Drosophila melanogaster: one gene and its partner. The protein of the gene in region 2 purifies or fractionates together with the protein of the main gene of each other region. This does not show direct contact. Each region holds a gene or a part of one and is shown on either strand. Other genes may lie near its edges.

Region 1 (4,975 bases), on a different chromosome or scaffold from region 2:
CTATTACTTTAGTAGTACAAAATCCTTTCATCTACCTTTTCAATATTTTAAATATGGCTTTGGGCTAATAAAGTAATAAACAAATCGCAAATTACGTTTTCCTCTTAAAGGTGTTGAAAACTGTAAGAAATGCAAAGTATAATTGTGATTATAAATGTTGAAAACTGATATTTATATACTTGACAGTCTCAAAAGTGTGTAAACTTGGAATTTGTTGTTTATTTTCTTGTATAATTAATATTTTTAATTCGTTTTTTGATTCATAAGTAAAATAAATATTGATTAATTATATTTTAGAAAAAAATTGCGTTTAATTTAAGCAAAGAACCCTTAGTTTTTACCTTTAAAGTCAAAAATTCAACTTATTTCACAGTGTGTAAACAGTTTCTTGACAAACTGTATGTGCAAATAAGAAAACTAGTTGTAACTCTAAAGCAATTATGTTTTATGTATAGGTATTGAGAAATTCGATGTAACAATTGTTATCATTCCAAATTTAATGTGAATGCGCAAGTACACACATACATACATACATATATGCATTTGCAGAGATTGTCACTTGCAATCCATGTTTGCACACATCTGTAATGGAATTTGTTATACATTTTTATGCCCTTTTTTCATATAGATGAAAGTATGCTTACAAATGCAAGCATAGGTACATAGGTATTTAAAATATGCATACACATATTTACACATGTATATTTATTTGATTTTGAACAGATGTATAAAATATGTTTATATGAAAGTTCGTTCCTGAATTGCAGTTAACGACTGATAAGAAACTTTAATCTGTAATTAAAAGTTGCTGGAAAGCAAAACGCTGCTCGATAAGCACGCAGAAAGGCAGCCTGCGTGATCGGACAGAAAAAATTACAGTTCGAAAGAAGTTTACTCTTGTATTGTTCCCGGTTAGTAAATAAATCATCGTAAACGGAAGTCCACGCTTTGAAGATGATCACTAATAGTGCGTTGTGACAGCAGGAGACCACTGTTTAGAAGCGTAGAATAGGATGTCAGTTACGATTGTCTGATTACAACCATTTAAATCTTTTTTCTTTAACCATTAAAAAGTTAGATTACCGTGCCCACATTTTCTGAAAAGATTCCGCTGATGAATTGAGCTCTATGGCCGTACATATGTGAAGTGATTCCAAGTCAGCTTCCTTTTAAAAGTGCACCTTTCATGATAGATTTCCCATATTTAGGGTTTTTATACCACTTGACTAAAAAGGTATTTGATTAATTAATAATTATTTTGGCTCCTAATTATGTGGCTCCTTAGAAATCGGTCATTCCCCTATCCTTTACAATACTCCTCCACCGAGCTTAATTTCGCTTCGATTGGGCCAAACAATTAGACGATTGGGTGTGGTGTTCAAAAATATGGATATCGTTATGGTACTTATTTACAAGCAACTGTGGTTTGCAATCATTTTTATATTAACGAGGAACTTTATTCAATGAAATTAATATTTATATTCAGACCTCCACGGTATTTAATGTGAATTTCTTACATGAAGATAAGAAGAGAACAGAATTTTCTTCTTGAATATGAAGTAATATGACTTCGCATTTACATTTACATTTATTAGCAAATTAGCTGAACCAAATATCACGAAAAAATAAATTGAAAGAGCCGCACCAGATTTAATTTATTTTAAAATTCCTTTGTCTGGGAGAAGAACAAAAATGCAATTTCGGATGATGTTGAAACGAGATTTATTTCATAAAGTTAACTTATAAATATTTTTAATAACAGTGGTCGAGTGAGCGAATTTATCGGAAGCCACCTACATGACAGCCATTTGTTTTGTTTGGGCCCAAAGGAAATATTATAAAAATTTGAGTTAAAAATTTGTTCAGGGGTTTATCAATTATTGATCAGTTTCTGGAAAGCGGTGGAGTCGATATCGCCGTTCATCGTCTGTTTTGCCATCCGTTCGCTTCTACACAAACTTGTCTCACTAATTATCCCTGAATGAAACTTTCCCATAAAGTTTTCCAGTGACAGCTATAGTCAAGTTCCCCGACAGTCAGATATCCCTTACTCGACAAACGGAAGAGCAAAATATTTCCTTATTTATCGGCATTTCGATAAAAAATTAAAAAAAAAAATATTAATAAATAAATCGAAATATATCATAAATGTATTCGTGACGGATTGGAAAGGTGGCGTTGGGGTACATCGCTAGGCAAAATAAATTATATAATCCATGCAAATAAAATTATTCCTCAAAAGTGTGTGGGCGTGGGAGTTTTCGGAGGGTTTGTGGGGCGTGGCCAAAATGTTATTGGTTAACCGATAGAAATTAGAAAAATATATAATAAAAAAAACAAATATTTTTGAAAGGTATGGGTGTAGCAATTTTGTGCGGTTTGTACATCTGCGTTAGAGCGGGCATGAAAGCAAACTGGCTCTGCGCGTATGTCTCTGCAGTACGCATTCTTAATCTTAACTTTTTAGCTTATAGTTCCTGAGATCTATACGCTTACAGGGAAGGTCATACAGACTGACACTTTGAGACACATCTTATATAAGAGTGCACGTGTCCGATTGTTCGTTGGAGTGACTATACCTGCTAAAATAAACAAAATGTACACGTTACCCACTTGGGATTAGTTCGATTCTAGGACTTAGGTTAGAGGTGGAGAAACATCGATGTTGGTGGACATCGATGTTTTTGGCGAATTTTTCGTTGATATTTTAAGATTTATAAATAAAAATACATAACAATATTGTTTCAACGCACGGTTTAATGTTTATGTAATAATTAAAGTCCTTTGGCATGAATTTGTTCACACTCTATTCATTTATTCTATCGTACTAAAGTAGTCTCAATCAAACAATTAGTTCTCTCAATACCTTACATTGACTTATAGTCCGCCTATAATCAGATTAGGATTATTTTCTTTGATTGCCAAGGTGCCGTTTAGGCAAAACTACATATATATGTTTTATATGGATTTAGCTTCAATATCTCGCTTAAGTGTGTCTATGGTCTTATTAGCTTTCGAGATATAAAGCGATTGTACGAAGTGAGTACTACATATTTAATAAGTTCGAATACGAGCCTATGCGCCTAGAATGATTTTCTAGCTCTCGTGTTAAGGTCACACTGCTGGGCCTCATAAATTCGATAAGCGATAGTTTTATTTCCACTTAGTATTGAAATGTCAATAATTTTATAAAAATAATTGTTTTATACATATAGTAAAATTATATGCAGGTTAAAAACAAACCAAACTATCATCATTACAGGTGTAATTTCATTAATGTTAAGGAGTGAAAATATTAAATTAAAATTTCACGACTTTGAATGTTTGATTTAATTTAAATTAGAAAAAGGTTTTTATTATTGTTGTAGGAAAACGGAATCGCGTTTTGTTAAATTTCAATGGAGTCTGTGGCCCAGCAACTTAGAGAGCTGTCGCTTCCAAAAGGTGACACAGGCTCACCGCTTGTATGTATTGGACATGGAAAAGTTGCGAAGCTAGTCGCCAAGATAAGTAATAATCAAAATGCATCAGTAAAGAGGAGATTGGATATACCTCCTAAGCCGCCGATAAAATATAATGAAATGCCTCAGGTACATACATACTTTAGTATAGCCAGTTTGTGTTATATACAAAGCAATTCATTGATTCTCCTCAAAGGCTTGTTCTTTAAGCCTTAAAGTCCGTTATTGTACCGTTTTAGAGGGTATTTCCGTCCCTCTACAAAAGCATATGTAATATACTTATATATTATTGATCGGCTGGACTGTGAGCGAACATTTGCTACCATTCAGATGACAGAAATCAAAAACAAGTACAGACTAATGGATTGTTACACGACATATCAGGAGCAATTCATTAAAAAAAACATAATCAATTTTTAAGTAAATATTGTTTTAAGTATACATATGTAAATTTAGGGGATATTCTTAACTGTACCAGTACCTAAATATCTATCGCATGCCTTTTTCACTTCGGTAAAAACCAAACTGTGCAAACTGTGGCAATATTTAGAACTTTGCACAGCGTACAAAGTCATTAAAATCTGCATGTCACATCTTAGTTTTTATTTATAATACCCTTATTATACCCTGTATTATAAAAAGTTATTATTCTGAAAAACTGTGTATAATAACGTATACTTAAGCATAAATATTTATTTATTTCAGGTTCCATCAAGCAGACAGGTTTTGTGTTCGCGGGAACCACTATATTCACAACCTCTGATTGGAGTCGAGAAAACAATGAGGGGGCATATGCCTTTTAGAAAATACCTCAGCTCTGAATTCGGAGTTGCTGATACTCAAATAAACAGAAAAACAACTTTAGATAATCCGGCAATTTTGGAACAGCAATTAGAAGCTCTTGCTTACCATAAACTTCAAATGGAAAAAAAGGGTCTTTTGGGAGTACAAGCTAAGCCAACACAACCTCTCAACAGCTTTACAAAGCCCCTTTCAAAGACTTTAAGCAAAAGCTTAATATATTCTAATTTAGGTTCTGTTCGCAAAGAAATAGAAACATTAGAACTATTAACAGACGAAACTAAGATTTCTGCGAGTACATATTCAAACGTTAATGAAACTGGTATGTTTATGTAATGCTTATATAAAAATTGTATAGTATTAATTATAAAATAATTTAAATGTCAAAGCAATGGACTCTTCTCATAGCTCAACGCAAAAGATGCTATCCGTCTGCACTAATTTTATTTCAGACAACGAAAAAGATGAGTTACCGCCACCACCTAGTCCAGAGAGCGCTGTGAGTTCTTCATACAGTGAGCTTCGTCACGCCACTTTGGAATTCAACAAACCAATTGATTATTTACAAAATAACCAGACAACGAATCCTTTACAAATATATGCAAACCAATATGCGATGCAGCATGATGCCACAGGCAAGGTACACAAAATCTGAAGTTCATTACTCTGGAGTATATTTCTGTCTGATAAACAATCTTATTCATCTAATAGAA
Region 2 (5,052 bases):
GGGATGTGCCATGTGACAGCGATGGCATCAGGAAACTTTGAATATTTCTAAGCAATACGTTCCTCTTAAAGTTCGCCATCGCTGTCATGAAATTGGTATTGATTTTTCAGCTTTATCTCGATGGCCCGCGGAATATGAGTACACAGAGATATCACGTTACGCCCGGGCCATAATTAAAATGTTAAAAATGTGGTCACGGAATCTTCGGAAGCCTCCGCTATCTGGCTTTTAATGGGCGATGTCGTAAATGATATGGCCACCGCATTGAATTTCCAATGAATAGCGTGGATGGTGGTTTGCACGATTTTGGGTGGCTCTGGCGGCTTAGATGGCCTGTGGTGCTGCGTTGTCACCTTGACAACCACTATGGAAGAGCTCGTTAGCCAGCTTAGCTACAATTTATCTCCTGCAATTGGCGACCCGCAACCACAGCCATCAGCACTCAGCACAAAGCTCCTCTGGCCGCCTAATCGCATTCAATTAACACACAACACACAGCACATAGCACAGAAAAAGCCAAGACAAAAAAAAAAATAAAAAACTGGGCTTGAACGCAACTTCTTGCCAAAGGCAAGACAATGCTGAACTGGAGAAATGCTCGTAAGAATAAGACCAAGTCCAAAGTGCATGGCAGAAAAGCAAATCCAACAAAGTTGTTATTGCTTTTGTTTCGGCTGGTCGAAAGGCGTTTATAAATTACTTAAAGCGCTTAAGGCCGGAGAAAAGAAAACCCGTCTAAAGGGGATGGAAAGGGGGGGGAGCCAACAACTTGTGGCGTGACCGAGGCTTCGAACTTCGAGGGAAGCCAATCCCGGCAATATGTTCGCCGATTTTCCTATTGCCTTGGCCATCTTGGCTGCTGAGCAGATTAAAGCGTATCGTGTAGCAGCAAATCCAAACCGCAAGCGGCCAACAAAGGAGGAGGAAATCGAGGAAAACTGGCGGTGGGAAAGCGGAAAAGCGGGCAAGCACTGGGAAAGCCTACCAATTGAATATCAATCAACTTTTGGGGCGTGCGTGTGCGTTGGCAAAAAGGAGCTGAAACAAAGGAGCCATTCAAGTGGGTGTGGGTGTGGATTTGTTTTTGGATGTGGGCACGAGCCAAGTGAAGTGGCCTTGCCCCCCTTCTCCCCTCTCCAAAACCAAACTCCCACCCCCTCCCATAATGGAATTAAAACTGGCAATTTCGGAGCAAATTGCTTGATAGGCTGTCTTGTCTTGCAAGTGTTATGGCTGCTGCACAGGAAAAAATCTGTAATCGGATTACTCTGGCATTCATAAAGTATATTTCAAACAAGTTTTTTGCTCATCTGCTAATTGCCAAAAATTGAGAAGTGCCCAGAAAGTCTGGCTTTTTAAATCTCTTTTAAATTTGTGAAAAATGTTTGCCTGGACTATTTGTATTTAGTGCTTTTTCTTATTGATAAACCTGTGTTGATACAGACTACCGATGGGGTCCTGAATAAATCTAACTGTCATATTTTCTCTCAGTGCTCCGAATCGCTCGCACAATTGGCATTGTAGAAGCGCGTCTAACCGAATTAGGCAACACAAATCAATTGCATTAAATGGCAGGCAGCGCGTGTCTTCGCCCCTTTGGGGCTGCCAATGCCTGTGTGGTTACGATTCCGGCTTCCCTTTTTCGATTTTGCGAGCATTTTAGCATATGAAATTGGTGTACACGTCTCGAATGCGGAATACTTGCAGGTTAACCAAATGCCAGAAACAATTGTGATGTCCTGAACAGGCAGCCAAATAAATGCCGACGAACAGCTGCAAACGACTTATTTATGCCACAGAAGAACTCGAAGCCCCATCCACAGCGCCATCGTATGATATCCCTATTATCGTTTGCTTCTCCGGGATTAAGTCTGCCTGGATCTGGATCCTAATTTACACAGCTTCTGGGTATTTACCTCTTCTTTCAGGGACGCAAAACTTTTGCCCAAATGAGAAGAAGTCGGCAGGAATGCCTTTCGGCGAATGCTCTTAAGTATTTAAATTCAGCGGATTTTTATGAAGCTTTCGCTTTTCGCCATTGCATGTGTTTATTTCATTTCTCATTTTCACAAACATTTTCCCACCAGCACACCCACACACACACATACACATATATACAACTAAGGACGCCACATGCCAAGTTCTACTTCATTTCATGTCGGCATTTGCACATTTTCCTTATTTTTCCCACTTGGTGTGTATGTGTGTGTGTGTGTTAAGGGAAATTTTGTTATACTTCTGGTTTCTGAAGGCGGCTTCTTGCAAAAAACAAAAAAAAAAAAAAAGAACAAGAGGAAAGTGCGACTTGGAAGCCACCGCAAAACAATGAAAATTGGTTTTGTTACTTTGCTTACTTTCGCAGACTCTCTTCTTGGCTAAGACCGTTCGGCGGTTGAGCCCTTGGCGGTGGCTTTTATTGCCCGCCCTGTTATTGTTGCTTTATTTATTTGGCAGCTGGCTGGGGTAAAGGAGCCACAAAGCCACCCAACCACCCACCTGGGCTCCTAGCCATCGTATAACACAGCCAACCATATAGCGAAGCTACCACTTCTGCCGCTGATGGCTTTGAGTATTATCGCATAAAATCCAAAATGTAAACACTGGCTCAAGTCGAGTCCTTGCAGCACGTACACGTTTATATTCTAAGCGACATTCGGTGCCAATTTGAATATTTCAGTGCGAACAGCTCCCACAAGAATTCACTAATATGCTGCAAATTATTACCTGCGCCAGCGGCACTGGAACTCATGTGACGAGCGATCGTTTTCGGTTTTATTATCCTTAAAGTTTTTCACTTTTATATCTTATTGGCTTAGTTTATTCACTTGGCTTTGTTTTAGTTAGTTGCAGTCTGAGAACTGCTTGCTTTTAGGTTAGCACACTGCACAAATAACTATTATCTTGCAGCTAGAATCCTTTTCGCTGGCACAGCTGATGTCCTGCTGGGTCTTTTGGCTTCAGCTTCAGGATTTCTGCTCCTGCTGAAAAACACTTAGAACGAGTCGCGCGCGATTCGTGTCAACTGCGTCGAAGGGTTCACTTTCAACTGAAACACTGCTGGCCGTTCGCCGTCGTTTCTCAGCGCCCTGCATTCGGGTTCGGCTCAACACTTCGTGTTGCTTCGGTGCACTTCGGCTACGCCCACGAGGCCACCCGAGCGACGATGAGAGAGGGCACTGCTCAGAGAGCGAAAGATGGCTGGCTCTCTCCCAGTTCGCCTCAGGACAACTGTGCCACGGCGAAATGGGCATTACCAACTCAAGTTGTTAGACACTAGGCTGCGCTGCCCTGGCTTTGGCCATAAAACATAATTAACAGTTTTGTTTACAAAAGACAATAACAAAATACAGTACAAATATCGTTTATTTGGATTGTTCTTTCTTTTTACTTAAATTCGTGTACTCACACTCTTTTTTTTTTGAAACTGATACTTAAACAACTGATTTAACTATTATCTTATTTTGAAGGTATGACATATGACAGCTTGAAATTCAAACTTTTACAGCAAGTACATTTTACATCAAATTTTTCATTTTTATCATCCAATATTTTGCTTTTGCGATTTAAATAACTTTTAGCCACTTCTCAGCACAAGCCACATATAATAAATTGATCATGTAATGCTGTCATATCATGTTGTTCACCTGTCGCTTAAAGCTATTTGAGCTCAGCAGTCACTCTTCGTCAGCTTTTTGCCTAGAGAGAGGCATATGAAAACTACCCCTATCATATTTTTCGCCACGAATGCCACTCCGAATTTTGCTCCGAAACGAGGGGCTGACTTCAGCCTTTGTTGCTGGAAGCGTGGTGTTGCTGGAAATCGGCTGGCAACATTCGAACTGCTTTGGCAACATTTCGAAGTGGGAGACAAATTGCGGCATGTCCTGCTAGTTTCGGTGAGTGAAAGTTACGCGACGAGTTCCCAGGTGAACGCAACGCTGTCACTTTTCACATGAGTTAGAGCTGGAAAATCAAGTTATCGAGGCGTGACCACCGAGGGCAGGCTCGCGTGTAATTAAAACTAAACAGCAGGAACAACATCAACATCAACATTTGCACCAGGGGCATTGGGCAGCAACCACCCACAGGTCATCCGGATAACTGTAAAAAGCGATTCAGCAGTTTGTACGGCGGAAAACAAAGGGAAAACCAACCATCCCAACCGACAGAGCAGCAGGCATTACGCTGATGACGAAACCGAATACGGAAGTCCATAAGTCAGGATTAAAAACGTCGGCAGTGGCGGCGAACACGCAAAATATGGCGACAACAACCTGGTCAAAAGGAACTTATGTCCAACAGGAGATGTCCTGAAATTAATTTGAATATTTTCCAACCGCTTTTCCCCCGCGACCGCTTGCCCTTGGCCCTTTGTCACTGCTTTTGTTTCAGCTTTTGTTTCAGCTTTTGTTTCAGTTTTCGCTCTTGTAGCAACGGGGCTTTTGACTTCATTAGAAGTAATGGCGAAATCTGGCTGAAAAGTGAAAAACAGGAATCTGTCCGCGTTCCACGCTCCCCACCTCCCCCCCTCCATTCAACTGTCAGCGACGCAACGCAACGGTTATAAAATTCCAAAATATGCACATAAAGACATAATCCTCAACCTCCGCCTCGCCCATCCCACAATTTTTCCCGGAAAATGGAAATAGAAACAACTGCCGCCGAGTCAACGGTCAACAGGCGATGGCGGTGGGTCAGTCAGTTTCAATTTATTGGGCGCGCTTGAAAATAAATTTGTTTTTCGAAAATGCGAACATCAAGCACACCGAACGCCGTGGGTAGTGGAAGGGGTGGTGGGGGGAGGCAATACAGGTGGGCTCTCAGGGGTCCTCGCGGATGAAAAACGATTACGCAATCTGGCCCGTGCCATGTCCACTAAAGCAAGTGGAACAATCTGTGGGGGCGGTCAGCGTGAAATGAGCTGAATTTATACGAATTCGCCGTGTAAAACTCTCGTCCTTCGGGCACTTTAAAGATAAAGTTTGTCCCATTAAATTCAACAAAACAATTCATTTTTAATTTTGCACAATTTGACTTCAATCGCAGTAGATT

Evidence for each region.
Region 1: the proteins of klg (region 2) and apolpp fractionate together in Drosophila melanogaster (co-fractionation; one study listed by BioGRID). This does not show direct contact.

What each region holds. Positions count from the first base shown.
Region 1 is NC_004353.4:1,059,028-1,064,002, reverse strand, and holds the start of apolpp (apolipophorin), read right to left. Parts: upstream 3,035-4,975; 5' UTR 2,867-3,034; intron 1,326-2,866; exon of another isoform or gene 1,084-1,325; intron 1-1,083. Other genes in the region: Zyx (zyxin), read left to right, coding at 3,399-3,590, 4,167-4,584, 4,652-4,902. UniProt on the Drosophila melanogaster protein: Constitutes the major component of lipophorin, which mediates transport for various types of lipids in hemolymph. Acts by forming lipoprotein particles that bind lipoproteins and lipids.
Region 2 is NT_033777.3:22,897,283-22,902,334, reverse strand, and holds the start of klg (klingon), read right to left. Parts: upstream 3,052-5,052; 5' UTR 2,725-3,051; intron 1-2,724.